Linked DNA regions of Rhinolophus ferrumequinum. The protein of the gene in region 4 binds, or shares a complex with, the protein of the main gene of each other region. Links are inferred from orthologs where the notes say so. Each region holds a gene or a part of one and is shown on either strand. Other genes may lie near its edges.

What was found.
Region 1: TAF4 (region 4) and TAF13 share a complex: the UniProt entries of both Homo sapiens proteins name them as parts of the TFIID basal transcription factor complex. The link is inferred for Rhinolophus ferrumequinum from reciprocal best matches to the Homo sapiens genes TAF4 and TAF13.
Region 2: TAF4 (region 4) and TAF7 share a complex: the UniProt entries of both Homo sapiens proteins name them as parts of the TFIID basal transcription factor complex. The link is inferred for Rhinolophus ferrumequinum from reciprocal best matches to the Homo sapiens genes TAF4 and TAF7.
Region 3: TAF4 (region 4) and TAF5 share a complex: the UniProt entries of both Homo sapiens proteins name them as parts of the TFIID basal transcription factor complex. The link is inferred for Rhinolophus ferrumequinum from reciprocal best matches to the Homo sapiens genes TAF4 and TAF5.

The regions. Positions count from the first base shown.
Region 1 is NC_046305.1:41,352,101-41,359,897, forward strand, and holds the start of TAF13 (transcription initiation factor TFIID subunit 13), read right to left. Parts: upstream 3,015-7,797; 5' UTR 2,969-3,014; coding exon 2,894-2,968; intron 2,140-2,893; coding exon 2,061-2,139; intron 79-2,060; exon of another isoform or gene 1-78. UniProt on the Homo sapiens protein: The TFIID basal transcription factor complex plays a major role in the initiation of RNA polymerase II (Pol II)-dependent transcription.
Region 2 is NC_046307.1:15,636,514-15,643,775, forward strand, and holds TAF7 (transcription initiation factor TFIID subunit 7), read right to left. Parts: upstream 3,010-7,262; 5' UTR 2,368-3,009; coding exon 1,318-2,367; 3' UTR 438-1,317; downstream 1-437. UniProt on the Homo sapiens protein: The TFIID basal transcription factor complex plays a major role in the initiation of RNA polymerase II (Pol II)-dependent transcription.
Region 3 is NC_046299.1:21,905,906-21,913,199, forward strand, and holds the start of TAF5 (transcription initiation factor TFIID subunit 5), read right to left. Parts: upstream 3,016-7,294; 5' UTR 2,678-3,015; coding exon 2,119-2,677; intron 132-2,118; coding exon 1-131. UniProt on the Homo sapiens protein: The TFIID basal transcription factor complex plays a major role in the initiation of RNA polymerase II (Pol II)-dependent transcription.
Region 4 is NC_046306.1:1,376,309-1,383,799, forward strand, and holds the start of TAF4 (transcription initiation factor TFIID subunit 4), read left to right. Parts: upstream 1-4,478; 5' UTR 4,479-4,523; coding exon 4,524-5,691; intron 5,692-7,491. UniProt on the Homo sapiens protein: The TFIID basal transcription factor complex plays a major role in the initiation of RNA polymerase II (Pol II)-dependent transcription.

The DNA.
Region 1 (7,797 bases), on a different chromosome or scaffold from region 4:
GATTGGGTGTTCACGCTTTTGTGTGAGATGTGCCTCCTACAAACCTTGTTACGACAACGGCACATTACCCGTCTGACGTGAAAAAAAAAAAAAAAGAATAATTCCTATTTAGGAGAAGCAAAAGCTGGTAGAACTAAAAAGAGAAGAAAGTAGATCAGGCCTAGGGAAGAAAATAAAGGGGTGACTTGGAAGCCAGCCTGGGATAGAGGTATCCCTAGGGTTTACACTGGCAAGAACCTTTAGGTCCAGATAAGGAGGGAGAACACAAAAGACAGGAGCCAATATTCTCTCTCTCATTCCTTTGGATTCTGAAAACTTTCTTGCCCCCCGCCTCCCCTTTTTAAGATAATTTCAGTCTTATAGATGACTTACAAAAATAGCAGTTCCCAAATACCCTATATCCAGTTTCCCCTTATGTTAACATCTTATAAAACCATCAACATTTATCAAAACTAAGAAATTGACATTGGTACAAGTACAGAACTTACTCAGATTGCACCAGTTTTTCCACTAATGTCCTTTTTTTGTTCCAGGATCCTACACTATTTAATTGTCATGTCTCCTTAGTTTCCTCTGATTTGTGACAGTTTGTCACACTCATCTTTTATGACCTTGACACTTCTGAAGAATACTGGTCAGTTATCTTATAGAACGTCTCTCGATGTGGGTTTGTCTGATGTTTTCTCATGATTATATTGTGGTTATACATTACTAGGAAAGGTACCAAAGAGGTGATGTGACCTCTTAATGCATCACATCAGGGGTGCATGATGTCAATATATGTCACTGGTGATGTTAACTTTAATGATTTGACTGAAGTAATGTCTACCAGGATTCTCCCCTGTATACTTATTATTTTTCCTTAAATATTTTGAGGAAGAGACTGTCATTAATATTTTGATGGGTAGAATTCACTAATGGGGAAATATATTTCACTGGAAAAGGAAAATGTATATTACATAGTAAATATGTACACTGTATTTGGTTATAGGGTCTGTGAAGACATAAACAAATACCAGTGAATGCTTTGCAACTTTGTTATATTAGCAAAAATAATTTTTTTAAGTTTTAGGAGAACAGCTCTTGGTCAGCAATATATATCAAGATTGAAGTAAGACAAGGAGAAGGCTGTGAAGATTCCAAATTCTTGTCATCACAAAAATAAAGCAATCCAAGTAGAACAGAGATTTCTGCTAAGAACCGACTTTGGGGTACTCTGGTATAGAAACCCCCTTCATATGCTGACATAAGTAAAACCACGTACAAATGGAGTAAATGGCATCAGAGATGGAATAAGGTAAGGAAATGAGATATGAAGAAGAATCTGAGTGATTACAAAATAAAAAAACATACTGATTTTGCAGCTTCAAGAACCTTTAGGAACTGCTTACATCTGACCCAGCATAAATAAACCAGTTGCCCCATCCTGTGTTGCCCCATCTGTCAATACTCAGCCATAACTACATGTAAGGGACCCAGGATTGGGAGATTTTCAGGTGCCTCTCAGGGTGGCCTGGGCCATCAGTAGTAGCAGTAGTATTCCCTCTTGCTGACAAAAAGAGTTAAACCTGTCTATTAAGGGAATAGAACAGATGACCAATACACTATACTCTCTATGCCCCTGTAATGCCTCACACTGTTCACCACCTTCCTGCCTTGTCCACTGCCATAGTCGGAAGCTCCAACTTAAGTCCTACCCTCCGTACCTGTTCAAGGATCCATCCTAACCCTTGGCTTACAGCCAAAGAAGTCCCTGCTCCTACTGCTAGAAAAGTATAGGACAGGAAAAGTACAAGTATGTTCTTAGGCCCTGCATTGAAACACTGATCACATTTCCTCACTTTAAAAAAATGTGTGTGTATATAATTATACATACATATATAAAACTTGGGGTTAGGATCATTACTAGCTCTGATTCACAAGTTAAACAGAATTGTATAGGCAAATCCAAGAATAATGACCCTATAGGGAAAACACATTGAGAACAATAAATTTTTGAATGCACATGTCCAAAACATTTATTTTATCATCTATAATAAAATCGCTGTGTATATACTTACATTCTTTAGAAAAAAGTCTCTTTCTTTTTCCCTGTCCACCTTCTGCACCTCCTCCAATTTCTTCATTTTCTTCCTCAAACTAGAAGTTAAAATGTATATATAGAAATGTCAAGTAATTGCATTGCATTTGATTTTTTAATTTATTAATTTTTTTTTCCTATTTCAACATTGATACCATGCCAGAAAGCCTAAAGCAACAAATTAAGGCCCTAAAGACTGTATTAGTCCAACCTCCGATTCATGCAGGAATGGCTTCTAAAATGTCCCCAACAAGTCATTCTACTGCCTTTCCTGGAAGAGTTCCAGTGACCGTACTTTTTAAAAAAGACCAAGTTAGCCTATTGCTAGACAGTTTACTATTAGAAGAGTTGATACCGAATCAAAGCAAGCAAAACTAGTATTTACTAAGCGCTGCTTATACAGTGCTAGGCACTTACTTTAAGTAAGCCTTAACCCCATTTTGTGACAAGAAAACCGAGCCGCAAAGTTAAATAACTAGCTCACGCAGAATAAAGATTTTGAAATGCAGGCTCCCTGACTTTCGGTCCATACTTTACAAGTATATAGTTTTGTTAGCAATTGAACTGTTGGTTCATAATGAGCGCTAACATTAGCTTTGACCTCTAATAATTCCCTCGGCGTTATGAAGGTGTCTGGCATATATGGACCAAAAGCAAAGGGCAAGGGGCCACCTTCTTACTCTTCCTTCAAGTCCTGCTCGCTCCGAGAAAAATGGAAGAGAAAGGCTAGCGTCGCGTTAAGTCCCCGACTCTCTCGGCTGAATTCACTAAGGAAAATAGACCCGATTCCGAACTCGGCCTCCGCTACTGTACCCGAGAGAGTGAAGAAAAGAGCGGGTTGGAACAGAGGTGGTCACTCACAGTGGGGTCCTCTTCCTCATCTGCCATCCCACCAGCCAGCCTACAGAACCCGACCCGCCTCGCCCCGGGCGGGTTTTACTACTTCCGCCGCCTCACTTCCGGTGACGCGCGGGGCGGGGCGGGGCCTAACCAGGACGGACTCGCCGGAGAGGGGCGGAGCGTCCCGCCTAGGGGCCGACCTGGGCGCTGTTCTGGGAGAGGGGGAAGAGGTCTTGGCTCTGTCGTACCGAAGACGGACTTCAACATTAGCAAAGCAAAGCAAAATCATGGGTTAGGAGGCGTGTGTCTCGCTGTCACCCTAAATTTGCTTCTGCACAGCGAATCACTGTTTCCTGATTCGGTACTGCCAAGTCGTGGATCATTGTGGGGCTAGCCGGCGGTCTGGGGCTACCCCAGGCGTGTATTTAAACGGTTTCAACAATTTCGAGTTCCACTGTTATTGCCAAACACTGTATTGGTTTTGCGGGATATTGTTCTTCCTACTAGTTCTCAAGCCGGCGATTCTACCCCTTAGATTGGGGACTTACATTTTTGTGGGGAGTTTTTTGGTCAAAAGGATGACTGGGAAAACCGCAGGCATTAGAAGGGCTAAAACTAAGGACGTAAGATGTTCTCAGCGCAAGAGGTGATGCCACGTAAGGAAAAACCGCCCCACAATACACTATTTCTGAATGTTGTGCTGAACATTCATGTGAGTGAAAACTGTTTATAGTTATCTGACCTAACTTTGTTTACATATGTCCATTTATACATACACATCCCTGACCCTGATTCCTGGCACAGAGCTCCTAAAACCCGTGTAATTTCCTAAGTGATAAAAGCTCTAGGAGCATCTGTTCTATACTGGTGTCTGGCCTTTGACCTCATGCCTGACACAGGGTTCCTAAAACCCTTGTAAATTCCTAAGCGATAGCAGCCCTGACTCTGGGTGGGCTCTGGGATGGCTCCTGGAGGGGGGTTGGTCACCGGAAAGACAAAGCCATGATTAGAAACTTGGAATTTTCAGCCCCACCGGCCCATTCTTCAGAGAGGGGAGAGGGCTAGAAATGGAGTTAATTGATCATGCCTACATGATACATAAATCCCAATAGTAGGAGATTCAGAGAGCCACCAGGTGGGGGAACACATCCTCATACAGGGAGAGTGCCATATCCCAACTCCATAGGGACAGAAGCTCTTCACTCAGGACCCTTGCATATTTCGCCTTATGTATGTATCTCTTCATCTGGCTGTTCATCTGTATCCTTTATCATATCCTTTAATAAACTGGTAAACATAAGTGTTTTCCTGAGTTCTGTGAGCTGTTCTAGCAAAGAATCAAATACAAGAGGAGGAGCTCATTGGAATCTTCGATTTGCAGCCAAATCAGACAGATGTTGTGGGTATTCTGGGGACCTAGTGGGATCTAGTGTGACGATTGGCAGTTCAGTGGGCGAGAGAGGCAGTCTCATGGGACTGAGACCCTAACCTGTGGGTCTGACGCTATCTCCAGGTAGATAGTGTCAGAATTGAGTTAAATTGTAGGACACCTAGCTGGTGTTACAGAATTGCTTGGTGTAGGGGAAAAGAAAAACATACTTGGTAAACAAAAGAATCAGAAGTAAAATATTCTGTATGAACGGAGAAAGGCATACAGGAAGGAAAGAACTTGGAATTTTTCCCCAAACAGCAACTACACTGAAATGGGGCAGATTATACTTTGTTTTGTTTGGAACTTATCAAGAGCTATGAACCATTTCAGGAAATAATATCACCAAAGGCCACATCACTTGTAGTAATTTGAGTAGCCAGTACTCACTGGAATCAGTCTGCATTTGTAGCTCCTGCATTCATGATGATTCTATACATAGGTGCAAGCATCTAAAATCATTATACCCTCTAGTATAGTCATTCCTAGGCATTTACATATTGAAACATATTATTATAGCTTACTATCTTTATTTTACCTTTATAATTGTTAGGATAGTACATATTATTTTTAAATTATATGGGTAGTTAGGTGTATTCATTATTTACTGCTGTGTAACAAATCATCCCAAAACTTACTGGCAAAGACAATAAACATTTATCACTCCATTTCTGTGGACCAGGATTCTGGGTGCAGTTCATCTGGGTGCCTCTGGCTAAAGGTCCCTTACGTTGCAGTCAGGGTGTTTGCTGGGGCTACAAGTCTCATCTGAAGTGTCGATGGGGAAGGATCCACTTCCAAAATTACTCACATGGTTGTCAACAGGATTCAGCTCCTTCAGGTTGTTAGACCAAGGGCCTCAGTTCTTTACTAGCTATTGCCAAAGGCCTCCCTCAGTTACTTGCCACATGGTTCTCTCCACAGGGCAGCTTACAACATGGCAGCTGGCTTCTCTCAGAGCAGATGAGAGAGAGAACCAGGAAGAACACCCAAGACAGAAGCCACTGTTTTGTTTTGTTTTGTTTTGTTTTGTTTTGTTTTGTTTGTGACCTAACCTTGCAAGTCACATCCCTTCACTTCTATTCACCAGAAGTCAGTAAATGCAGCCCACTCTCAAGGAGAGGGGACTACACAGGATGAGAACACCAGGAGGCAGACATCATTGGAGGTTATCTGAGAGGCTACCTACGGCAGAAGGTTATGTCATCTGTGAATTTCATTTCAGAATTAAAAAGGAGACATTATATTTGTTATTTAAAGTAGACTATTGAGTAAACTAGGGTTGAGAACTGCTGTGTTAGGTAGTTCTAACAGAAGGAAATGCTCACCTTGTCCAGGAGATCAGGTATAACACATTCACGGTGTCCATTATCAGGGGAGTGGCTCGATAAAATGTACTGGAGGCACACCAACGAGTACTATGCAGCAATCAGAAGCAATCGACTAGCGACATGGACAGAGCTTAGAAACATAGTACCAAACTTAAAAAGTAGAGACACAGTAAAATCTGTAAGACAGTACCATTTATGTAAATTAAATATACATAGACACAAAAAATACATATTTTATAGGAATATACAAAAATGCATAGACATTAACTACATTAGAAATGTTGCGACATAAGAGAAATGGGAATAGGTATAAAGGGAATGCATAGATAAATAACAAATGAAGGACTTGGAAAAGAGCTCATTACGATAATATGTCACGAACTGAGGAGTGTGACTAATTCAACCTTTGGAACCAGAGATCCAAAACATAAAGGGAAAAAAATTGCAGTGTTATGAGCAAAGCAGAAATGAAGCACAGAAAGTGAAAAGTCATGGTATGCTTCTAGGAGATGTTTTAGGTAGATTGCCAGAGCCCAGATTGTTGGGTGGGGTGCAGGAAATGAGGGTGGAATGAAGCTAGAGTTAAGAGTGTAAAAGGCCTTATATGTTCTCTTCAGAGACTGCACTTCAAACTGCCAGGGTTTGGGGGCGATCTTTAAGCAGAAGAGTGACATGTCCCTATCTTTTTTAAAAAGATCACTTTAGCAGGGAGAGTTCCTAGGATGAGAGACAATTAGAACCTGAATTAAGAAGAAGAAGGAACTTTAGAAGAATTTACAGGACTTTGTGTCTGAATGAATTGGAGCGCTATGGAGAGAGACATTCCCATCCAGATTAATATGATGCTATTAATATAAACTGGAAAGTAAAAGGGGAAAGCAATTCGGAAAGGAAAAAAATGAGTTCAGTCTGAGTTTGAGAGTCTACAGATGTTCTAAAGACAGATGGAAGTGCAGGCCTGGAAATCCACAGACATTAGGACTAGAGAAAATGGGATTGGAGACATAAACACCAAGGTGATAGTTTAAAGACACAGGAAGGAGAGAAGGGAGGCAAAGGGCAGAGCCTTAGAAAAGGTACATCAAGAGAAAGAAAAGACAGAAGGAATGGCTCGAAAGATAGCAAAAGATAAAAGAAAAAAGACAGAGAGAAGAGAGAGAAGAGGAAGAGGAGAAGAATATGTTTTGAAAGCCAAAACAGAAAAAATTTCAAAAAGAAGCAAGTGGTCAGGTGTGCTCAGTACCACAGAAATTAAGAGACTTAAGAAAAGGCCTTGGATTTGACAATTAGGAGGTGGGAGAATAATCTGGACAAAATAGTTTGAGGGCAATGGTGAAGATGGAAGCCAGATTATAAGAGGTGAAGGAATGAGTGTATAGTCGGATAGTGAAAGATAGAAAAGCAAAGAGAGGAACCTAGCCTCAGAGGGCGGTAGGATCAAGGGAAGTGGACTTTGAATAAATAATTACTGAATGAAGAAGGCTGTGAATTTGTGTCACCTAGCAAACTGCTAGGAAAAGCCAGGTTTTCATTATAGAAAAAAAATGGAATGAGTTTTTAAAGATTAATGACAAAGGGTATTTGTTCACATAAAAATGAGGTCAGCAGAGAGAGACGTAGAGCTGAGTTCTGTGAGAATAATTTGCAAGGAACGGCAGGGGTGGGACTATCAGAAAAGAAAAACACAGGAGGCTGGGTGGTGGGCTTTAGGAATGATGGGAGAGTACCAACCAGACCCCAAATTTAGGCAGAAACTGTACAGTCTCACCCTCACCCTGCATCCCCTTCACCCCAGGGTATAGACCTCTGCAATGCTATTCCGTTTGGGGCTTAGGGAGGTAGTCATTGTTTAAATGGCTTTCAGAATTTCCACAATGCAGTCTTGACCATCTGCTTGTTCACCAAATAATGTCCATACTCTTTGGTTAAACATGCAGGCTCTGAGATCAAATGAGTTGAGTTTGAAGTCCTAGCTGTGCTACCTATCAGCTATTACTTTGAGACAAGTTACTTGACTGCTCCATATATCCATTTCCTCATCTGTGAGATGGGGATAATAATAGTTACTAACCTCATAAAGTTATTATGAGGCTTAGATGTGTTAATACCATAAGGTG
Region 2 (7,262 bases), on a different chromosome or scaffold from region 4:
GTATGACTACACTTGAGAGGTCTGGAAAATTTAACATTTCACCACTCATGTTTCTTGTCAAATACCTAATTAAAATGGGCTTTAAATGTTTGCTCCATGAGGTTAATTTTCAAACCAAAGATTTTCTTTATAAACCAATCTCAGAAATGAATTGCACCAAACTCTGCATTTTGTAAATTTTATCACTGATTCTTCCAAAATAGCTCAAGTAAGGCATTATATTAGAATCTTTAGAGTATGTAAATATGAAAATTATGTTTAAGAAATATTGAAATAAGAAATTATAATACTGACCTTTATAAACAATTTTGATGAACTGACACGGACAAATCATCTCAGTTCTCAGAGTACTAAATAATTACAGTAATTAAGTTGAAAATATTTAAAAATATAATCTTAATCCAAACCAATGGAATGATTCTTTGAAAAGTACCTGAAAGCTTTGCTCTGTTTTGTTTCTAGTTATTTCAAGCAGGTGAGTACAGTGCTTTAAAAAAAAAACACAAAACATTAAATAAGACCTTCATGTACAAAAGTTAGGGTTGTTTAGGAAGGTTCTGTACCTAGTGTTTATTAACCCTCCAAACACAGCAGGTGGATTAGAAACTTAACATAATGCAGCTATTTCACAATTTGTTTGCTCTTGCTGTATTCATCTTTTTCTTAAAACCCAACATAACTGCTTTTTTCCCTACCAAACAGGTCAAATTGTTCAGTAATTAAACTGTACCAAGAAACCACCTCACAAGAGGATCTGATGCCCACAATCCCTAAAACAGCAAGACTCATTATGAGGTGAAAACTAGTTTCTATTTATTGTGTTAAAACAATTTTATGAAATGATTTACAACTCTACATGTATAAAATTGAATAACTAGGAAAATAACTACTGCATGGGAAAACATTATGCGAACTAACTTAACTGCCTTTAGACTACTCTTCTTAGTGATCTTAGATGGCATCACAAACTAGCAAAACCAGTTGCTGGCAAATGGAGAAACAGCAGCAAAGTCCTGCAGTGAAGTTTTGATTACAAAGTTTGAACTGTTCATTCCACTAATCCTACAACTTTCCTACAATTATGTATCTTTCTATACATTCCTACTTCCTACATGATAAACACCTAACAAAGTGGTTCTGAGAGACAAATGAGATAGAAATTCACATTTCTAGTCGTTTAAGACAAATTCAATAAAAGGCAGCAGAAAAAAACAGAAATTACCATATAGTTCTATCATCTAGTCCAAGTAATGAAACCAAAATTTTTCTTCTAATGCTGACCACTTTAAGGAATGAATTTAAGTATCAAAGCTCTTTTCACTTCTCTAGGAGTGATTCTAGCTCTTCTTGCAGAGAGCTAAGCTGCTCCTTTTCTCGGTCTTCCTTTTGTTTGAGTTCATCCAGCACAGCCTGAAATCTGTTCTTGAGAGCCAGGTTTTCCACTTTCATTATGAGATCTTCCTGTCGTTTTGCCCTGTCCTGGGTCTCTTGGAGCTTGCCTTTCATGTTATCAATCTGTTTCTGAATTCCCATAACCAGCTGATTGGTTCCCTCATTTTCTTGGTGCTGTTCATCTGAAGCACTTAGCTTGTCCCGTAGCTGTCTTTCCAGATCTTCCTCAGTGTCAATTATGTTTATATCTTCTTCATCTTGATGCTGCGTCTCATCTTCATCTTCACTGCTGCTGCTGAGGTCATTGAATATCTCCCGAAGCTCATCATGTTCTAATGAGTCATGGCCCTGCCTATGGCCTGACATTCCTGGCGAAGAGATATCAAGGCCTTGATTTTCTGTTTCTTTTGTTTCATCCTCAGCAATTATTTCCCAACGAGTACTGACAGCTTCGGCATCTGTACTAAGCAACCGCTTCACTTCTTTTTCCACATCTGGAGATTCAATATACTTCTTCTTTGCTGTCTTCCGGAACCTTCTCTTCCTGACATTTTTTAGAGGTAGAGTGATTCCATGGTTCCATATAAACTTTTTCTCTTTGTCCTTATCTTTTTTTTTGCTTGCTTTGGGATCAGCAGCAGCAACTGGTTCCTCCACTGGAGGATAGAGATCACCATCAACTGTGGATACAAGCATCTGACAAATATCAGCTGTCTTGTAAAAGGTTTTTTTATCAATGGTTTTCAAACTTTCCATAACACATGGCAGATCTACCAATTTTGAGGCCAGTGGGACCCGGTCCACTCTGACGATTCCATGACGCCCATCAGGGTGTAACTCAATTGTCAGTCTGTCCTTCAGGTTGACATGGCCAGACTGTACTGCCCGCCTCACAGTAGATGCATATTCCGGAGGCAGACGTAAGATAAACTGGCTCTCTAATTCGTGAGGAGCATCATCTTTGCTCTTACTCATGTTTCTTTGTGACTCACTTCTCAAATGAACACTTGTCGCACTAAAACGTTCCAACTATATCAAGTTAGAAAGACCAGTTTGTTATGAATTGAAAAATTCAATTACAAAGAGTTCTAAGAAGAACAGCAGCTTAGAGTCTACTGGTTTTTTTTTAATTAAGCACCAAGTCTTTTTAAATATGCTGTGACTGAATACCAGTTGTTACTGGCACTGGATTATTCAGTTAAGTCCTTTTGAATAAATTAGCTGCAATGCCAAGTTCCAACCACTAGATGGCGCTGCCGGACAATACAGAGCAAGCAAGCAGAAAAGCAAATGGCGGCTTCTGCGGAATGATTTTCGGCACAGAAAGTAAAGGCCCAGAAGACACTCCCAATTCACAAACTCTCCCCGAACAAAGATAGTCAAAAAGCGGGGTGCAGTGAGCTCTCTTCGCCTCGGATACTTACAGTCCAGTAACAATTATAAACCGAGGTTCTCCGGACAGGAGCGAGCGAAAGAGAAAGCCACTGGGAGAATGGCGGCCGGGGGCCTAAAGTCTCCTTCCTGACTCCTTTGTTTCTCCCGGCTCTTGGCAAGCGATCCGCTGCTGATTATCAATGAAATGACCCAGAACGGGCAGCGCGAAATCTCACCGAGATCCGTAGCTCTGAGCGCCAGACTCCGCAACTCAGCAACTCGGCAGCTCCGCAACTCGGCAGCTCCGCCTACAGCTCCTCAGCTCCCGGGACCGTCAGGGGAAGCAGACCTAGCGGAGAAGGAAGTAGTACGTCACGGCGCGGGGCGGGAGACGGCTGTGAGTGACAGCACGACTCGAGCGGAAATGCGGTCTGCCCCAGCACGCGCAGGCGCAACGCGCAATTGCGATATCAGGTGTCCGTCTGCTCGCGAGAACTTGGTTTTAGGCGATGGGAATAATTTTCCTTAAAGAGCTATTGCTTTGAAAATATTTAGAGACACCGGTTCCAAGAAAGACCTAGATTTTCCCGCACCCACCTCCCCGCCCCGCCGCTAAGCCAGAACTTTTACCGGATCGCCCTGGGGCCGGATAGCTCCTAGGCTTCCCGGTGATCGTCGGGTATAGGGCGTCTGTGCGGAAAGAGTCTTTGCTTCAGGAAACACCTCCGATGCTCCCCAGGGTATATCCAATTTCGAGTGAATACAAGAATTTATAACTAACCATGCAGTGGATTTGAAAGTATCCAAATCAGTGGAGTGAGGAGGACATGCTGCCCACTATATAATTCTAAGTCTATATTTTGTTGGTTATGAAAATGCTTGGAGTGGACTCATGCCTCAGGGTCAGTTTCTGTTGTGAAGGACCCCAAGGGAATAAGGGTGATTCCTCGTTTTAATAGTATGTTTGACGTAGATATAAATGTAAACAGAGAAGTAAGTGTTCTTCAAGAGGCATATGTTCATTTAGGACAGAGTCGTCTAATAGACAAATGGTCTGATTGCGGTAGAATATAATTGAAGTATTACTCCCTGCCACTCGCTTGTAAATTTTAAATTAGTTAGGAATTGTTTTCATTCCACTCTGCTATTTTGATAACTGTTTTGTGCTTGTCTCCTCTATTTATGTAGGCAGATATTTATCAGCACGTATCTATAGTATTTAAGCCTAACTACCGGTGTTAATATATATAACAGCTTCCACTGATTCCTGCTCATTTCCATTTATTTTTTAATGGAATCGTCCTGGTAGAGCATCAAGGTCATTAAAATTTTAATTTCTATCCTCTATTACCAACTGCATCTAAATTTAAGAGAACTCTTATTAAAATGTGATTAACATTTCTAAAAGTTCACTTCATTTCTTTATGTATTGTCTCCCTCACTCCCTCAGACTGGAAGCTCTCTGATCATCAGGAGTCTTCTATCTTGTTCATCATGTCCCGGTGCCTAGTATCAAAACATGGGGGATATACAAAAAAATATTTGCTAATTGAATGAACCAATTGATCCATCTAAAAGGAGCATAAATATAGTCTATAATAATCTGTGAGATAAAATACATTCTATGTCACCTTAAAATGAGATAAAGCCACTTCATATACATTTCCTCTCGTCAAGGACGGTGCCAATTGTTATGAGCAGAGAGCTTTGCTAATAGTGTGTCCTCTTTGGTTTAATTAGACTGTGTATCTTGGGAGGAAATTAAAATTAAAATGGCCTGGCACCAGTTTTTTTAATGTTAAGTTTGAAGTTGAAATTATGCTTTTTCAGATAACTACATTAGTTCTCTTTGTTCCAAAATGTGTTGAAGAAAGTTGGCTGATATATCATCTATAATTTCCAGGATGATCTATTTCCCCCTTTTCAAAGGTGAAATTCTTTATTGTGCTTAATTATACTGATGGTCCCTTAATTATACCTGATTTTACTTATTTTATAGATAGAAGAGTTTAACATGCTAGCTTCTGCATAGTGCTTTATTTGACTATATAAAATGTGATTCTATGCTTATACATGAAAATAATCCAAATGTTGCTTTGCACTTTAATTGCCTATAGTTTTATGATGCTCAAATATCCTGTCACAGAAAGTAACCTGAGATAACAGATGCAATTCTGATTTGCCAAAATATGATGTATTTTATTTAGTAAACCTTTAAATGGAAGATGGTCAGAGATAATTAAAAGGATTAAAGTTTCCCCTAAAGTATGTACCTCCTTATCCTGAAATATATTTTCTGCTTTGGAGTTTAACACATTTTCTAAATGCGGGATTTGTATGAGGGAAAATTACAGTGATCCTAAAGCTAAGGTCTCTGTCACATTACAATTACCTTAATGTCTGTTGATAATCCAGTTGTTCTCTTTTTAAAATCAATAGACATACATAAACACTCTGAATTGATGACAGAATTACACTTCTGTGGTTGTTCCTTGGAATATCTGTGATACTAGTGAACTAAAGATTTGGGGAGAGCAATAAATTCCCCACATGGTAATGACCTCCAAACGCTTCCTGCCTATGATAAAGGAGTATCAAAACCAGGATAATGCTGTAAAATTATTGGTGGTGGGAAAAGCCCTGCTTATATTTTGGAGATAGAAAATTATAAGGGAGAAGAAATAGCATATGCCCCCCAAAAGTACTCTTACATACTGCTATATTGGTGTATAAACAGTTAAAAGCAGGTTAACTAAAATCTAGTTAATATAGTTAAAATATAGCATCAAGTATGATACTTTCCATAGAAAAGACACCATCATAATTTACATTGGTTTAAATAAGAAGAAAAATCTAGTATCTCAAAAACCAGGTAGTCTAGTGTAGCTCTGTCCAATAGAAATATAATATGAACCTCAGATGAAAGCCATATATGGTATATTAGTAGCCACATTAAAATGGCAAAAAGATGCAAGTGAAATTAATTTCAATACCATTTTATTTAACTTAATCATCAAAAATAACATTTCAACATATCAAGGTAGAAATTATTAATGATATATTTTACATTCTTATTTTGTACTAATCTTCAAATCTGGTGTGTATTTTGCACACACAGCACATCTCAGTTTGGACTAGCCACATTTCAAGTGCTCAGTGGCTGCATGTGGCTGGTGGTTACTGTATTGGACAGTGCAGTTCTAGAAGTATGGCTGCTTCTAGGTATGATAGAATCATGGCCTGGCACAAATTGTTTTTTTCTTCCTAATTTTAGAGAATGAGCATTTATTTATACTTTTTCTATTATTTTTCAGTTTTGTCCTCATCTCCTTGTAAACTTCCAAAATCTGTGGTGACAAGAAACCTGCCAGCATAGCTGGGGAACTTCCATCCTTGTCCATGGTAAGTTCAGAGAGTGGTTCCCCCAAACCAAAATCTGTCTTTTGATCTGATTGGACTAACTTAGGTCACATACCTATCCCTGGATCCATAATAGTTACCATTTTTATTTTCAAAATTGTGGCAAAGGGGTGATATTGGTAATGTCTGGTGACATTTTTTATTGTTAGAACTGTGGGGGTGGGGTCTTCTGGCATGTAGTGGATGGAGGCAAGGGATGTTGCTAAATATCCTACAATTACACAGAACACCTATTCTCCCCACCCACACAAAGAGTTATCTGCTCAAAGTAGTATCAAGGTTGAGAAACCCTGCCTTAAGCTTATTATTTTAAGCCTATATTCCCAACTAAACATTGACAAGTGGAAGGAGATTACCATTATTGGTTTAGATCTCTGAGAACATGTTACAGCTATGAATAGATTCAGCTCTGCCTTAGGTACCCAGAGGGTGGGCCCCTAAACTAAAAAGGAAGTGTTAGAAGAAAGGAAAGGGCATGGGTAACTGTCATAGTCCATTTGGGCTGCTGTTACAGAATACCATAAACTGGGTGGCTTGTAAACAACAGAATTTATTTCTCAATTCTGTAGTCTGAGATGTCCAAGATAAAGGCACTAGCAGATTTGTTGTCTGGTAAGGGCAGGCTTCCATGTTCATAGACAACAGTCTTTTCACTGTAACCTTACATAGTGGAAGGGGTGAGGGAGCTCCCAGCAGCCTCTTTTACAAGGGCATTAATGCTATTCATGAGGACTCAACCCTCATGACCTAATCAACTCCCCAAAAACTTTACTTCCAAATACCAGCACTTTGGGAATTAGGTTTCAACATATGAATTCTGGGGAGACACAAATAAATATTCAGTCTATAAAGGCAACCAATAGTATCCATGAAAGAACTAATTATTTGGGGGAATAGGATAGTATATATGTAATTCCAAAAATATCCAAATGGCCAATGAGCACATGAAAAGATGCTCCTCAGCATCATGAATCACTGGGGAAATGCAAATCAAAACAACAGTGAAATACTACCTCACACCCACTAGGATGGCTACTATCAAATAAATAAATAAATAAATGTTGGCAAGGATATGG
Region 3 (7,294 bases), on a different chromosome or scaffold from region 4:
GTCCAAGGAACATTCAATGAAGTGTTTCAGTCCACTATAGTATTCTTCATACATTGTGGGGTCTCCTTGTTGGTTGTAAGCTGACAGCACAGCACTGACATCTGGCTGGTCTTCCACAGCTACACTCCCAACTGTTTAAAAAATGAAAAACAACTTTCAAGAAAATGACCTGAGATGCACCAAGTGACTACGGCTGTTTTGCTAAGGTCCACAGGTGAATTGTTTCTCAAATGTTTGTCCCTCTCCTCTCAAACTTTCTTCCCCAACACAATCACATAATCTTTTAATAGCATTTTCACTTTGTTTCAGTGACCCATCCAAAACTCCTTCATCTTGTCCATATCTTAAAATAAAATTTTCAAATCAATAACAAGAGATTCATTTATTTTTTTCTGGAGCTACCTTATTTTAAAGACAAATTGTACAAAACATGGATGAGCAAATCAAACAACTATGTCCATCTCCTCTCAAGGGTCAATGCAAACGGCACCCACCACCACCATCAAGCCATGCCCTGAAACAACATTTCCAGTTCTCTGAGCTACCTAAGTACTTTGTAACTTTACTGTAACCTCCTATCCTATATCACCTTCATTTATGTACATCTCTCATTCCTTATAAAATGTAAGCATTTTAAGGGTGGGAAGTTTGTGCCTTATTTATATTTCCAAAAGATATGCTTAAAACAATTTCCAGAACCACCATTTCAAGTCAGAAAATACGAGTATTTATTTGTAATATAGCAATATTACAATGCTATATGTATCAATCGAATCAGGGTTTTATTGTTGGAATTTTTAAGTTGCAATTAAAGTACTGTTATGTTCCTTACTGCACAAATGATATAAATTCTTTCGATTACTCTGATGGCATTTTCTTTCCATCCTTACTGGTTTCTCAGATATGATCTAAAATATAGGTCAGGTTTCTGAACAGATTATAACAAAATGACTAACATATATACTTCACCCATGTTTTAGTTCATTCACAAAATTCAGCATTCAGGGAAAGATTCCTCTCAATCATTTTTACACACTTCTATGTATGGGTTACAACGCTATGTATTTATTCTTCACTTCTGGCAATGCTGCAAAGATTAGGTCTCATAAATACAGATTAGCTAGAGGCTCTGTACTGGATAATTTAATTCAACAAACATTCATTATTGGCTCAGGATCACCTTTGAGACCTTATATTGTGTATAAATTTTAATGCACAGACTTTGTGACAACAGTTGCTAGGAAAAGGGGATCAGGGGGTGCTCAGGTGTCAGGAATGGACACCTAGGCATAAACTTTTCAATACCAGTCATTTTACATATATTATATCTAAGTCTCACAATAACCCATTTAATCGAGGAAAAAAACTCAATTTTGGAAGAATAACTTAATCAGCATCAACCACGTAAAAGCAACAGAGACACAATCTGAACCCAGGTCTGTCCAATGCTTATTCCTAAACAAATGGTTCTCAAACTTGGGCATACATCAATACCCCTCGGAAGCATTTACTCAAAAATGCAGATCCCCAGGCTCAGCTTCTAAAAGCTCTGATTCACTAAGTCTGAAATGATGCCCAGGAATCTGCATTCCCCCCAAAGCGTCAACACTCGTGGTAGTTAGCCCACATTCTGAGACATACTGGCTACACTACGTTCCATCACTCCGTGGCTGTGTGGTCCAAAGCAAGTCCTTTGGCCTTTCTCAGTCTGTTTTCTCATCTCTAAAATAGTGGAATTGTGAGAATTAAGATATAGAACCTAAAATATTTGTACAGAACTGTACAAATATTGTTAGTGCTAATGTAGACCTGTCCAAAGCTCAAGAACCCAAATAAGCGAAAAGGGACCGAAACACTAAGGGTCCGCGCCTCTCCGCGCCCACCTTCCGCATACATCCTTCTGCTCAACAGCTCTCAGCCTCTCGCTGGAACTGACAGCTCTAGGAATAGGGTTTGACTGCGCAGCCGGCGCACTAGAGAAAGGGGCGGGCATGTGGTCCTAGAGGCGGGCCCAGGAAATTCAAAACAAGCCCGCAGAGGTGCAGGCCTGCCAGCCTCGGCATTCCCGGCTTGCTCCCCTTCGTCCCGGCCCTGTCTTCCCGGGACCTCGCGGCTCACCTTTCCCCGGAGCCACAGGACCTGTTGCTGAGCCCGAGACGGCGGCAGCTCCCGAAGCGCCGGTTCCCGGAGGGTCTGGGGCGGCAGGACCGGGAGCCGAGGCTGTGACCCGGCTAAGAAGCGCGCTAGCCGCCTCTGTGCCGGCGCCGTCCCCATCTCCCGGGGCTCCGGTGCCCGCCACTGCCTCCTCCAGCAGCCGGGCCTCCCGGCGCAGAGCTTCTTCGGCCTCGCGGAGGTTGCTCTGCCGTAGGAACTGCAGCACGGCCAGCAGAGTCTGTCGGTCGTGGGAAGCGCCCGCCTCCGGAGCAGTGGCGGGCACCGGGGCCGCCCCCGCCGGGGCAACGGCGGAGACAGCCACCGAGGGTTTGGGGGTCCCACCATCCCGGCCGGCCGACGACGACGCCGCAACGTTCCCACCGCCGCTGTTGGGGCCGTTGTTGGTCGTGCTGCCGCCACCCTCGCCAGCGCCGTCCCCAGCCTGCGGAGGTAGCAGCGTCGGCGGTCCCTCGGGCTCTAACTTGACCGCCACCTCCGTCTGCTCCTCCGCCAGCGCCGCCATCTTGCGGCTGAGCCACCTCGCGCCGTCAAGTGCGATTGCGTTTTCGCCACATGGAGGGCGGGGATGAGCATTTCACGACAGCTCCGGAAGGCGATTTACGGCAGTGGGAGGGGCGAGAAGAAGGAGAAAAAGAACACGAGCGAGAGCAACTTTCAAAAGTGAGTGACAGAAAGCAGGAAATTGGAGATGGCGACCGCCTATTGCATTTGCCTGAAAATAATTACCACTTATTGCAAACCAACTGCTATATTCAGGCACTGTGATAGACGTTTTACATTATATGACTTTTAATTCAACAATTTTATAAGGTACTGTTGTCCTCACTTTACAGGTGGCTCAACGGAGACCCAAAGAGGTTAAATAACTTGCCAAGTCACTCAACAAGAAAGTGAACGTTTCAAGATTTGAATCCAGGTCTTTAACTCAAAAGCATATACCATTTGCCAAAGGGAGGCTTCTGAGATACTGGTAATGTTTTGTATTTTGATCTAAATGGTGGTAACTTTCTTTGTTGTTCCAATTTTTACTTTTGTAAAAATTAATCGAGCTGCGTGCTTAAGCTTTGTGAACTTAACAGCATATATGCTATATTTCAATAAAAAGTTTCTAAATATCTGAATTTTGTGATTGTGAAATGTGTACATTCTGTATTCATACTGTGTTATCCATTATTACAAATTGTAAAATTTCTGCATTTTAATTGTGTATTTTAAAATAGTATATGCCATTTTGCAGTATGCTTCATAGATTATAAAAACCCTGCTGCATATTTTATCTCACTTGAATCTCACAACTCTGTGGGATAGGTGAAGACAAGAAAAGTGAGCCTGGGACATGGGGAAGATCTAGCACTTATTCAGGTTATTAGTTTTGAGGTCTTACTAGCTTTCTTTGATCCTGATTACTAGCTGAATGACCTGAAGCAAGTTACTTAACTCACTCTATCCCAGTTGCCCAATTTCTAAAATAGGGATAATAATAGTACTTAACCTCAAAAAGTTGTATGCGGATTAAATGATATAATGTACATACGATACCTAATACGTAATAAATAGCTACTGGTTGTTCTTACTTAACCTTAAAAGGTGTTCTGTAAATGTTTGTTATGAAAGTCCAATCATGATATCCAAGGTAATCTCATGACTAAAATATAAAACTAATCTAATTGGATAGCTAAAGTAAGATGAAATATGGGTGAGAGTTGGGGAAAGATGAGCAAGAACTGATTAGCATTTACTTAGCACTGACAGAACCTGAATCTGATGGTACATGCTTATGACCTGGGAAGAATTCATCCTTTTCCTCAGGATCATTCAATTATTTTTTTCTGATTCAGTATTCAGTAGTTGATAATTGGTAATTAACTGAGCACTTAGTAGATAGATAAGAGATACCATGAATAACAAGCCCAGGTTTGTTTACTATTCCCTGGAAAGATGTTTTACCCCATTATGAATAGTATATTAATATTCTGATGCATACATTAGTCTCTCAAATCAGGTCCTGGGAACTGGATCCACCTGTACAACTGAAGCCCTGATACTGGACTCACAAAAGTACAGCCACTCGCTTTCCCTCTGTGGGAGCCACCTATTACTGGCTTTTTCTCTTTCCAAAAAATCTGGGTTGGGACTTCAGCAGAGGTAATTTACTCTAAGTACAGTGGTTTTTCCTGTTACACCTCAATAGAGGTAAATTTATTGAATGCCTATAAGGTCCACTATTAATTTTTGATTCTCTCTTCCCCTTCTTTTATGATCTTTCCCATTCTCCTCCTACTTTCTTTTTGGGATGCTTTAAGAGGTCCAGTGTCGATCTGTATCTCGTTACTTCATAGGAGAGCTGCTTTTTCTGGGTGTTTCTCTTTGATGTTCTTTCATTTCACACTAATGGATCCAAGATTAGACTTTTTTTCTGTCTATCCTGATTTGCCTCTTATGTACCCCTTCAATCTGAGATTTTTTTTTTCAGTGCTAGGCATTTAGTAAGCATTATATCTACAAATATTTCCTCCCTCCATTTTCCCCTTCTTCTTGGATTCTTAGGATGTAGATACTATAGTTATATACTCTAGGTCTGTTAACTTCAGTATTTTCATGTTTACCTTTCCCAGATCCCTCCTAGAAGAGTTCCTCAACCTGATTTTTCAGCGCAGTAATTGATTCTTGGCCTACATCCATACTACTACTCAACCCATTTATTGAGTTATTTACTTCAAACATTATATTTTTCATAGTATGTTAAACTAGTTCATGATTTATTGCTTCAAGTAACCCAGTTGGGTGATTTTGTCCCCCCACATATCCTGGGGGGACATTTGGCAATGTCTGGATACACTTTTGGTTGTCACAACTCAGGGTTGTGCTACTGGCATCTAGAGGGTAGAAGCTAGGGGTGCTGCTAAACTTCCCACAATGCACAAGACAGCCCCAGCCCCACCACAACAAAGAATTTTCTGTCTCAAAATGTCAATAATGCTAAGGGTGAAAAACCCTGATGTATACAATATGAACTCATTTTTTTTCCTTTGAGGATATGTATTGTTTAAATTAACTTTCCATCTGATGCATTTAACCTGTTACATTTACTTTAGGTTGTTCAGTTTTTCTTACTTTAATGGGAGTTGCACTTTTTTCTATATCTCATTACTTTTCTTCATTAATTTGTATTTCCCTGGAGGTATCATGTACCTTGGCTGATACATTTACCCAGAGGGAGAAGGTGAGGGATGCCCCAAAAGGGGGAAAGCCTGTGGTATCACTATCTGGGCTTCATCATTACCTGTTTGCCAGCGCGCACACGCACGCACACACACACACACACACACACACACACACCACCCCTCTCCCCGCCCTCAGGGTTTTCAAAGTTTTTACCAATCTATTAATTTCTGTGTCATCTCTCGGGTTGGGTGTGATGGAGGAACCAGCCACCAGTGAGAGTTTACCATGTTGTTTAGTTTCTGAATTTAAACTCACACTGGTAGCTTGATTTTAGTTTAATTAATTTTAAATTGACCTGCAGTTGGAAATCCCGAGACTAGAGTAATTATTATTAACGAAGTATAGTTGGAGGAGGACATGTGAATAAATGCATAAAATATATAGGTTTTGGAGACACAGGACTTCATATTTAAATTTGGGAGACAAGGGCAGAGTTTATTGTGAGAATAATTTCTCGGTATTTGGCGACGGTGACTGAAAGGATGACTGAGAATAACCTGGTTAGGGAAGAAAACTATGAATTTGGTTTTTGACATGTTGAATTTGAGGTCCCTAGAGGTCATGCAAGTTTTGCTGGCCATAGGCAGAAGCATTTTATGGGTTAAAATGCTTCTAAGCATTTTAAGGAGAAAAATCGGGGCCAGAGACATTGATTTGGAAATCAGCATATAGATGGTAATTGAAGTCATGTGAGTGAATAAGATTACCCAAGATATTGCATAGAGCAAGAAATGAAGAAGTTCTAGAATAGAATTCTGAGGAACATCCATATTTAAAGGCTAATCCAGGGACCACTTTGCTCACATGTTCTTGAAATTACCTTTTCTCCTGAATCTTGGGACCCAAACTTTTCCTTGTTTTCCTTCTACCTCTGGCCACTCCTCGACTCTTCTATTGCCACTACTTCCTCCTCTACTTCATTTTTATTATTCTTTCCAGGTTTAATTTATTTAAAAAAAATTTTTAATCGACAATTTCAGATTTACAAGAAAGTTGCAAGAAAGTACAAAGAATTCCCAGATACCCATCATCCACATTCCCCAAACGATACATTTACTACATATGCTTTATCCTTCTCTGGCTCTCCGTCTCTGCCTCTCTGTAGATAGATAGATAGATAAATAGATAGATACACTGATATAGAGATCTCTATGTAGATACAGATATAGAGTTCAGACTTAGTTCAACTCAACTTACTCTTAGTAGTTCAGAAAAAAATGTATATGCACGTGTTTTTTCTGCATTACTAAGAGTAGTTATTTACAGGCATGATGTCCCTTTACCACTAAATACTTCAGTATGCATTTTCTCAAAATGACATTTTCTTACATAACCAAAGGACAATTACCTAAATCAATAAATAAACATTGATACAATACTCTTGTCTCAATAATTGTCTACAGACCTTACTCAGATTTTTCTGTCTCAACAATATCCTTTATAGCAAAGAAAAATCCAAGATTATTCATTGCATGCAGTTGTCGTATCTCAATAGTCTAATTTGAATCCTCCCTTTTTTGTATTTTTTTAATGTTTCCCCACCCCTCTTTTTTTTGTATTTTATAACATATATTTTTGAAGAGTACAGGCCAGTTAATTTATAGAGAATGTTCTTCAATTTGAATTTGTCTCATGTTTCCTCATGGATTGATTCAGGTTCAATCTGTCTCATCTTTGGCAGGAATAGTACAGAAGTGATGCTGAGTTCTCAGTGCGTCGTATCAGGAAGCATGTGGCTGTGGATTACTCCCATTGCTATCAATGTAAACTTTGATAATTTGCTTAAAGTGGTGAATGCCAGATAGTTTGAAACTATGTAAATATCCTATTACCTCTCAAACTTTAGCTCACCAGTTTTAACATCCATTGATGATTCTTGGCCTGTATCAATTAT
Region 4 (7,491 bases):
CAGCCACAAAAGAACAAAGACTGTGCCATCCCACTGTTGAATTATCTGTTTCTCTGTTTAACTCTGTCCATCTTTGCTTCACGTATTTGGAAGCTGTTATGAAACTCCTAACAACTTAGGACTTTTGTCTTCTTGATAAGATAACTGTTTTTCATGATGCTGTGTCCTCTTTTATCTTGACAGTACTCTGTGGTGGTCTACCTTATCTGGTGTCAATATCGTCTCTCCAGGCTTGGTAGGCATACTATTTGTATGATTTACATTTTTTAAAGTGCCTCTCTTGAAAATAGTACATGGCAGACTCTTGCTTTTCTTTCCTTTTGATGGAAGTGCTTAACATTTAATGATTAATTTGGTGGGATTTAGGTCTATCATCTCTGTTTTAGGTTTGTTCCTTCTCAAATATACTTTTTTGCTCCCTTTTGGATTATCTGAATTTTTTAGCCATCGATTTTTGTTTGTTGATTTTTAGCTATACCTCTGTGGTTTTTTGTTTTTTTTTTTTCTTTTTTGGTGGTTGCTTTAGGGATGACAATACATCTGAGCTATGAAGTAAGCTCGTCTCTGAGCTACACTAGTGAAATCCACCCACGATGGCTGTATGTAGCTAGCCATTTTTCAGAGTCAGCCTAGAGACTGGTGTGATTGAGTCATTCCAGAGTTTGCAGACAGCCAGCCCCCATCCTGGAGCTCTGGGTCAATTTTGGAGAGGCAGCTGGCCTGGCTCTGACTCGAATTTAGGAGCGTGTATCGAACTGGTGGTGTCCTGCTGTTTGAGAGGCTTTGTGGACAGAGGGGCCGGTCAGCCCAGGGTGGCAACCTCGAAAGAGCAGCTCTGACGTCTGTCGCTTTAAGGTCCGAGCCCTGGGTTTCTGCCCCACTTGGGCTGTTGACTTGACCTTCCCAAGCCTCAGTTCCCGCCTCTGCAATTCAGGCTTGGCTTAGCACGGGAAAGTCTCAGTGCGTCAGTGTGCTTATCATGGGTGGTCACCCCAGCAGGTTTGAGCATCGTCACTTTCTTGGCAAGGCAGGACAGGGAGGGGACTGTCCTGATCAGTGGACTCCACTGCAGACCCATCGAGTCACAGGCTGGTGTCTCGTACTCCAGCCTCTCCCGCCCACTTCCTGGGGCACAGGAGCTGGTAAGGCTGAAGAGGGCCTCGTGATTTATCGGATAGGTCTTTTCTCCATAGTGGACAAACTAGTCATCTGGTACATTGGGTTGAATAGTGTCCCCCCAAATTCATATCCAATGAGAACCTCAATGTTATTTGGAAATAGGGTCTTTGTACATGTCATTTTGGATGTACGGTGGGTCCTAAATCCAATAACTGGAGTCCTCTTGAGAGGACAGACACACAGAGAGAAGCTACGTGACTAGGATAAATGTCGGTTAAGTCCCCATTGTGATAATGCTCTGAAGACCCTAAGAAACGAACGTGTCGCTGCTCACAGATCAGTTAGGTGTTCATGAGCTTGTCCCTGGCTGTGGGTCCACGCTTAAACACATCCCACTGAGCCTGCAGCACTGCCGGCAGGGGTGGGGAAGTCAGCCAGGTCGATAGGACTCTGGGGCACTGGCCTGCGTCACTGGCCATCTAGATAACTGCATGTCTTTTTTTCAAAAATGTTGTTTCATTATGTAGTATTTCAGACAGACAACCAAAGCATGGGAAAGGTAACAAACATTGCACATCTTTCACACAGCCACAGCGAAGTTGAACTTACTGAGTCTTTGTTGTTTATTCTTGTCTTTCAGCGAGTGTGTCTGATGCTTTCTGTATTTTATTGAAAAGACAACAGACTGCTGAGTAAGAAGCCCACACAGCTGCCTGTTTGCCCAGGGCCTGGCACATCTGCAGTGTGGCAGGTGGCAAGGACGTCCTCTTTTGGGTTCTGCCGTTCTCACAGCAAACATTTTTCTGCGTTTAAGCGTGGTGTTTATATTTACTCCTTTCTTTCCTGTTTTTCTTTTTATGCTATGTGGGATTTTACTTTCAAGCTATGGAAGTCAAAACTGCTTGTGGAAGCAAGTGCAACCACAGAGATATTCAAAGAAAATGGCCCACGTCCCCAGGGTGACCAAGGTTGGCAGTGTGTCCCCCACCAGCTTTGAGGGAGGGGAGGAGCCAAGTGGCTTCTGTACTCCTCTTGTTCACTCTCAAAGTGGGCAGTGCTCTGGAGGGCACCAGTACAGCTGCTAACTCTAACTGGTCTGCAGCTCCTACCTTTTCCTGGGGATGCAGAAGGCCCACCCCCCCAGGGAAGTTGGGATGGCAGGGGGCAGGGCACAGACTCTTAACCTCCCACACTTCCTGCTGGACTGGAGGGTGCCCCAGAGGACTGTGGGGGTGATGTCAGCACAATGCAGGAAGAGGCCTGGTGCAGAGGGGAGGGGCTGTGGAGGGCATCCAAGGACGCCGAGCCCAGCTTTTGGAGGCCCGGGGAGCACACCGGGTTGGAGGGGTTCTGGTGGGCCTTCAGGGAACTCAGGAGTTCACCACGCTGTGGGCAAACAGGAGCAGCCTGAGATGGCACCCGTGACCTTTCTCTACTGAGGATTTGCGTCATGTAGCAGGGGCGGGCTTAAGAATGGGTCCCCTCCCCCACAGCCACAGGCCTTGGAGAGGCCTCTGAAGCTGTGTTTCACTTCCTAGAGGCATCCAGCGTTCTGCCTGCTAGCACCCCTGATTTCCATCTGAGTGTTTTGATTTCTATCTGAGTGTAGACTATGGTAGACCCTCTGCGTTTCCTACGACACATGTTGCACCGAGGGCCGAGGTTGGTTTGCTGACGTTTTTGTCTGGTCCACTTTAAAATGTTCTAACTAGTTGTCAACATTTAAAGAGGACAAGCGGTTACACACAATTCCACATTTCTGCTCTTGTTTAAGAACTAGACTACCAGCCCAGGCTGGGTCAAGGTACGCAGGCACCCAGTTCTCCACCCCAGGGCGCCCCTGAACCCTGGTAGTTCCTTTCCTTTCCTGTCCTCTGGGTGCTAAAATTCCACTTATCCTTGGAGGATTTACCTGACACTGTCCCCCGGGGAAGCACTTTTCCTGGACTCCAGTCCCTACTGCTCTTTGGGAAGCTGGGGAGGGTGACCCAGAAATCAGCCCAAGGGTTTGAAAAGCTGCGTGGAGCCCGCACAACAGCCCAGCTGGATGGGCCTTTTGTTAGCGTGGCTGGAGAGGACGTTTACTGCCAACTGTTTCCCTTATTGTGCTGAGGTCTGTGTTACCGGGGCCACAATCCCTTCGGCAGGAGCCTGCTCCTTTGATCTCCCATTTTGCCAGTGAGGCCTGAGAACACTTCTCTCTGGGCTTCCCCCAAAAAAGGAGAAGAAATACCACTAAAAATGTCCCAGAACACCATCTTTTGGTGAAACACAAAGAACCAAACCAAAACAACAACAACAACAAAAAACAAACGCAGAGAGAATTTTCTCTGAAATAGTTTATAGAGGCGCTTGTAAACATGATTTGAGATGACTTACAGGAAACGAGGAACAGAAAGGGCCCTCCAGATCGGACTGCTCCCTATCCAGCTACCGGTCCCCGCAGGCGCGGTTGGCTCACCTAATAATTTATAAAAGACACTCGTGTCTGGGAACCGTGAGGCCGGATGAAATGACAGTCACTCCGGAGAGGCCTCAGGCTGACTCAGCCGGGGACCGGCCTGGGTCGGGGCGCACGGGTCCTCCGGCCCGCGCCCCGCAAGCTCTGCAGTGGTCCCCGCGCCCGGCCGGCCGCCGCACGCTTCCTGCGCGAGCGCCTAGTAGAGGACCCAGCGCGTTCGCCCCGCCCCGCCCGGAGCAATGGCGCCGACGCCGGGGCGCCTTCCCACCCTGGACCCCTGCCCCCGCCCTCCACGAGCGCACGGTCACCGCGGGCGGCGGCTCGGAGGGGCTCCCGGTCCCCGGAGCACGGCGTCCCCGCGCCCTCGCCCGCTGGGCGCCCAGTCAGCTCCCGTCGGCTCCGGCCGCAGCCATTTTGGAGGCAGCGGAGACAAAGAGCGAGACCCCATCGCCGTCCCCAGCAGGCCTCGGCCGCGATCCTAGCCCGCCGCGGCCTCCCGCGGTCGACCCCGGGCCCGCCCGGCAGCCCGCACCCCCACAGCCCGCAGAACCCCGGCGCCCACCGCCCGGCCGCTGTGCCCGGACGCCCGCCCGCGCCCCGGCCTCTGCCGCTCGCAGCCATTGGCCGCGCCTTTTAAGCGCGCGCCGCGACCAATGGCGAGGCGCCCGGCTACCGGGCGGGGGGGCACCGCGGCCAATGGCGAAGCGCCGGGCGGCGGGCGGGGGCGGGCGCGCCGCCGCGCCTGCGTAATGCGCCGCCGCCGCCCTCCCCCCGCGCCGGCCGCCCGCGCCCCCCGCCCGGCCGCCGCCCCCGCCCCGCCCGGCGCGCGCCGCCCCCCGCCCGCCCCCGCCGGCCGCCAGCCCGCCCGCCCGCCCGCCCGCGCGGAGCCGCCTCCCCGCCCAGCGCCGGCCGAGCGGCGGCGGCGGCGGGCCGAGGAGGAAAGATGGCGGCGGGCTCGGATCTGCTGGACGAGGTCTTCTTCAACAGCGAGGTGGACGAGAAAGTGGTGAGCGACCTGGTGGGCTCGCTCGAGTCGCAGCTGGCGGCCAGCGCGGCCCAGCACCACCACCTCGCGCCCCGCGCACCCGCCGGCGCGCTCGGGAACCACGCCGGAGCCGGAGCGGCCGAGGGCGCGCCCGCCGCGGCGCCGGAGCCGCCCCCCGCAGGTAGAGCGCGGCGCGGCCTGAGCGTGGCCGGAAGCCGGCCGGGCCCGCGTCCTCACCGCGCCGCCCCGCTTGTCCCCGCAGGGCCGGCCGCCAAGCTGAGCGCTCTCGAGGCCAGCGCGCCGCCGGGGCCCGGAGCCGGGGCCTGCTCGGGACCGGGGGCCGCGCCCGCGCCCGCCGTCAAGCCCGCCGCCCGCAACGGCCCGCCCGGCGGCCCCGGCGCCGCGCAAACTTTGAATGGGAGCGCCGCGCCGGGGAACTCGCCGCGCGCCGCCGCACCTGCCGCCAGCCTGCTGCTCAACGGGCCCGCCGCCCGCACGCCGCCCCGCCTCGGCGCGCCCGCCGCGCCCGCGCCCCCTGCCCCCTCACCCCCCGCGCCCCCCGCGCCCGCTGCGCCCGCTGCCGCCCCGCCGCCGCCGCCGCCCGCCGTCGCCAGCCTGGCCCGGCCGCCCGGTGCCCCGGCGGGCCCCCCGGCGGCCGCGCAGAACGGGGGCAGCGCCGCACCCGCCCCGGCCCCGGCCCCCGCGCCCGCTCCCGCCCCGGCCCCAGCGCCCGCTCCCGCCCCGGCGCCCGCCGCCAACAGTCAGCCCGGGCCCGCCGCGCCGCCCGCGCAGGTGGCCAAGGCCGACTCGCCCAAGACCGCGGCGCCGCCGGCGCCCCCGCCGCCGCAGACCCTGGCGGCCAGCTGCCCGGCCGGCGCGGGGCCTGGCATGATCCTCGGGCCAACTATGCAAGGGGCGCTGCCCGCCGCCGCCGCCGCCGCCGCCGCCGGCACCCCCACCGGGCTGCCCAAGGGCTCGGCCAGCGCTGTCGCCCAGAGCCTGCCCCGCACGCCCTCGGTCACCACCAGCGGGATCCGGGCCACGCTGACGCCCACCGTCTTGGCCCCTCGTCTGCCACAGCCGCCCCAGAACCCGACCAACATCCAGAACTTTCAGCTGCCCCCAGGTGAGTGAGCGACGCGCGAGTCTGCTGTCCCAGCTGGGAGTCCAGGAAGTTGTAGGGTCTGGCACGGGCCTGTGGGAGCCGAGCTGTAGCCGTGCCCAGGGGCAGGATGTCACCCGGGGTGAGAATGTGTTCTTGCACGTCCCGGTGTCCTGTGGCAGCTGGGGTCTCTTACCTGGTGCAGAGGTTGGTTTCAGTTTATGTCCTTGCCTTGCAAAGTTTCTGGGCCGGTGCTCACAGTTCTCCTCCCGTCCTCCGTGCAGTGCAGTGGCAGCAGGCGCTGCCGGGACACCTTGCTGGGTTATACAGGATGGAGAGACATGGCCTGGGTCCATGGTCTTCCCACGCTTGGCACTTCCCCTCTTGTGTCAGGGATCAGACATATGGTCTGTGTCCTCACTGAGCTTCCCTGCTCCTTTAGTTTCGGGGCTGTGATGGTGTTCCCGGTGGGTCGTGCAGAGTGACGTCCCCTCCTTGAGGCTGGGCAGGTCTGCATGGAAAGCTGCTGCTTCCCTCCTAACACCAGGATGACAGGCACCCCAGGTGAGCCCTGGAGGACTCCTGGGCACACAGCCTTCCTGGGATTTCAGCCCTTCCCATCCCACAGTGGGGTTCAGCTCCGTGTGATCACTTAGAGGACGCCTGGTTCCTCTGATCATGACCGTCCAGTGACACCAGCGGCGGGCACATGCTGTCCAGTCAGCGGGTCTCCTGGAGGGTCAGATGGTGCCGGACCTCACGGAGCCCAGCGCGCTCAGTGAGTCCACTCAGTTTCCTGTCATCTTGGCGCTTCTTTGCGTGTGACAGTGCAAGATCCCCCAAGCGTTCTGTGTCGCCGCTTGGTTCTGGGATTCCCAGGCAGAGGGAAACTCGAGCACTTGCTGTGCCATTTTCTCTCTTCTGTCCCCTGCACTCGTCAGCGTGGAGTGAGTGCTGAGCTTCTGGAGAGCTCCTCCCTGGCTGTGTAGTAACATGTGCTGCTGGAGCAGCTGCTGTGGTGGCAGAAGTAGTAGAAACAGCACCTCCGTGTCTCCTCGTGCTTGCTGGAAAGAGCATGGGTCACCCTGAAAAGGAATTTCAGCGTGTTAAGAAGGCAGGGTTTCCCTGTCCAAGTCAGTGAGCTTGGGCAGTGGTGCAGAGCGTGGCGGGGACCTGTTTCTGTACGGGCACTGGTAGAGAAAGGGTGCAGCCCCAACCAGGGGCTACTGGGGCACCCGTGCTTGAGGAGGAAGAGGTGGTGTGAGATGCCGCTCATGACATGTTGTGTTTGTTTCTGAGTTTGTCAGGGTGTTTCATTGACGGTTCTCTTTTGTTCGTTGATGTGCCTCCTGACCTGTAAGTGGAGAATGTATAGGCTGATCTTTAGTTACATTTAAAACAGGAAATTCGTGCTTATAGTTCATTATGTAAAACGTAGGATACTTTTGACCTGTCCACGGCCATGTCCTTTCGGTGGTCCTGTTGGCTTTAGATTTGTCTTTCTCTTACCAGGATGGTCCCCACATTCCGCTTTTGTTATTTAAAAGTGGGCGAGTTTGTCAGTGAAGTTTGTGAGGCAGGTGCTTGGCCAGGTGTGCAGGGGTGGTGAAGAGGCCGCTGGTGCTGCATGAGGCCTGCAGGTGTGGTGGTTTGGGGTTCACTGGATCCCCTTCCTCTGAGCCTCAGTATAGGTGCAGCCCCTGCCGTTTTTCTTCTGGGGGAGGAAGCTGTGGTTCAAAAAGGGTGTCCTGTCTTTGTCATGGGTGACCGTGGACTCACTTTCATCTCTGTTCAAATGTCAGTATTAAGGATGTGTTCACGTGA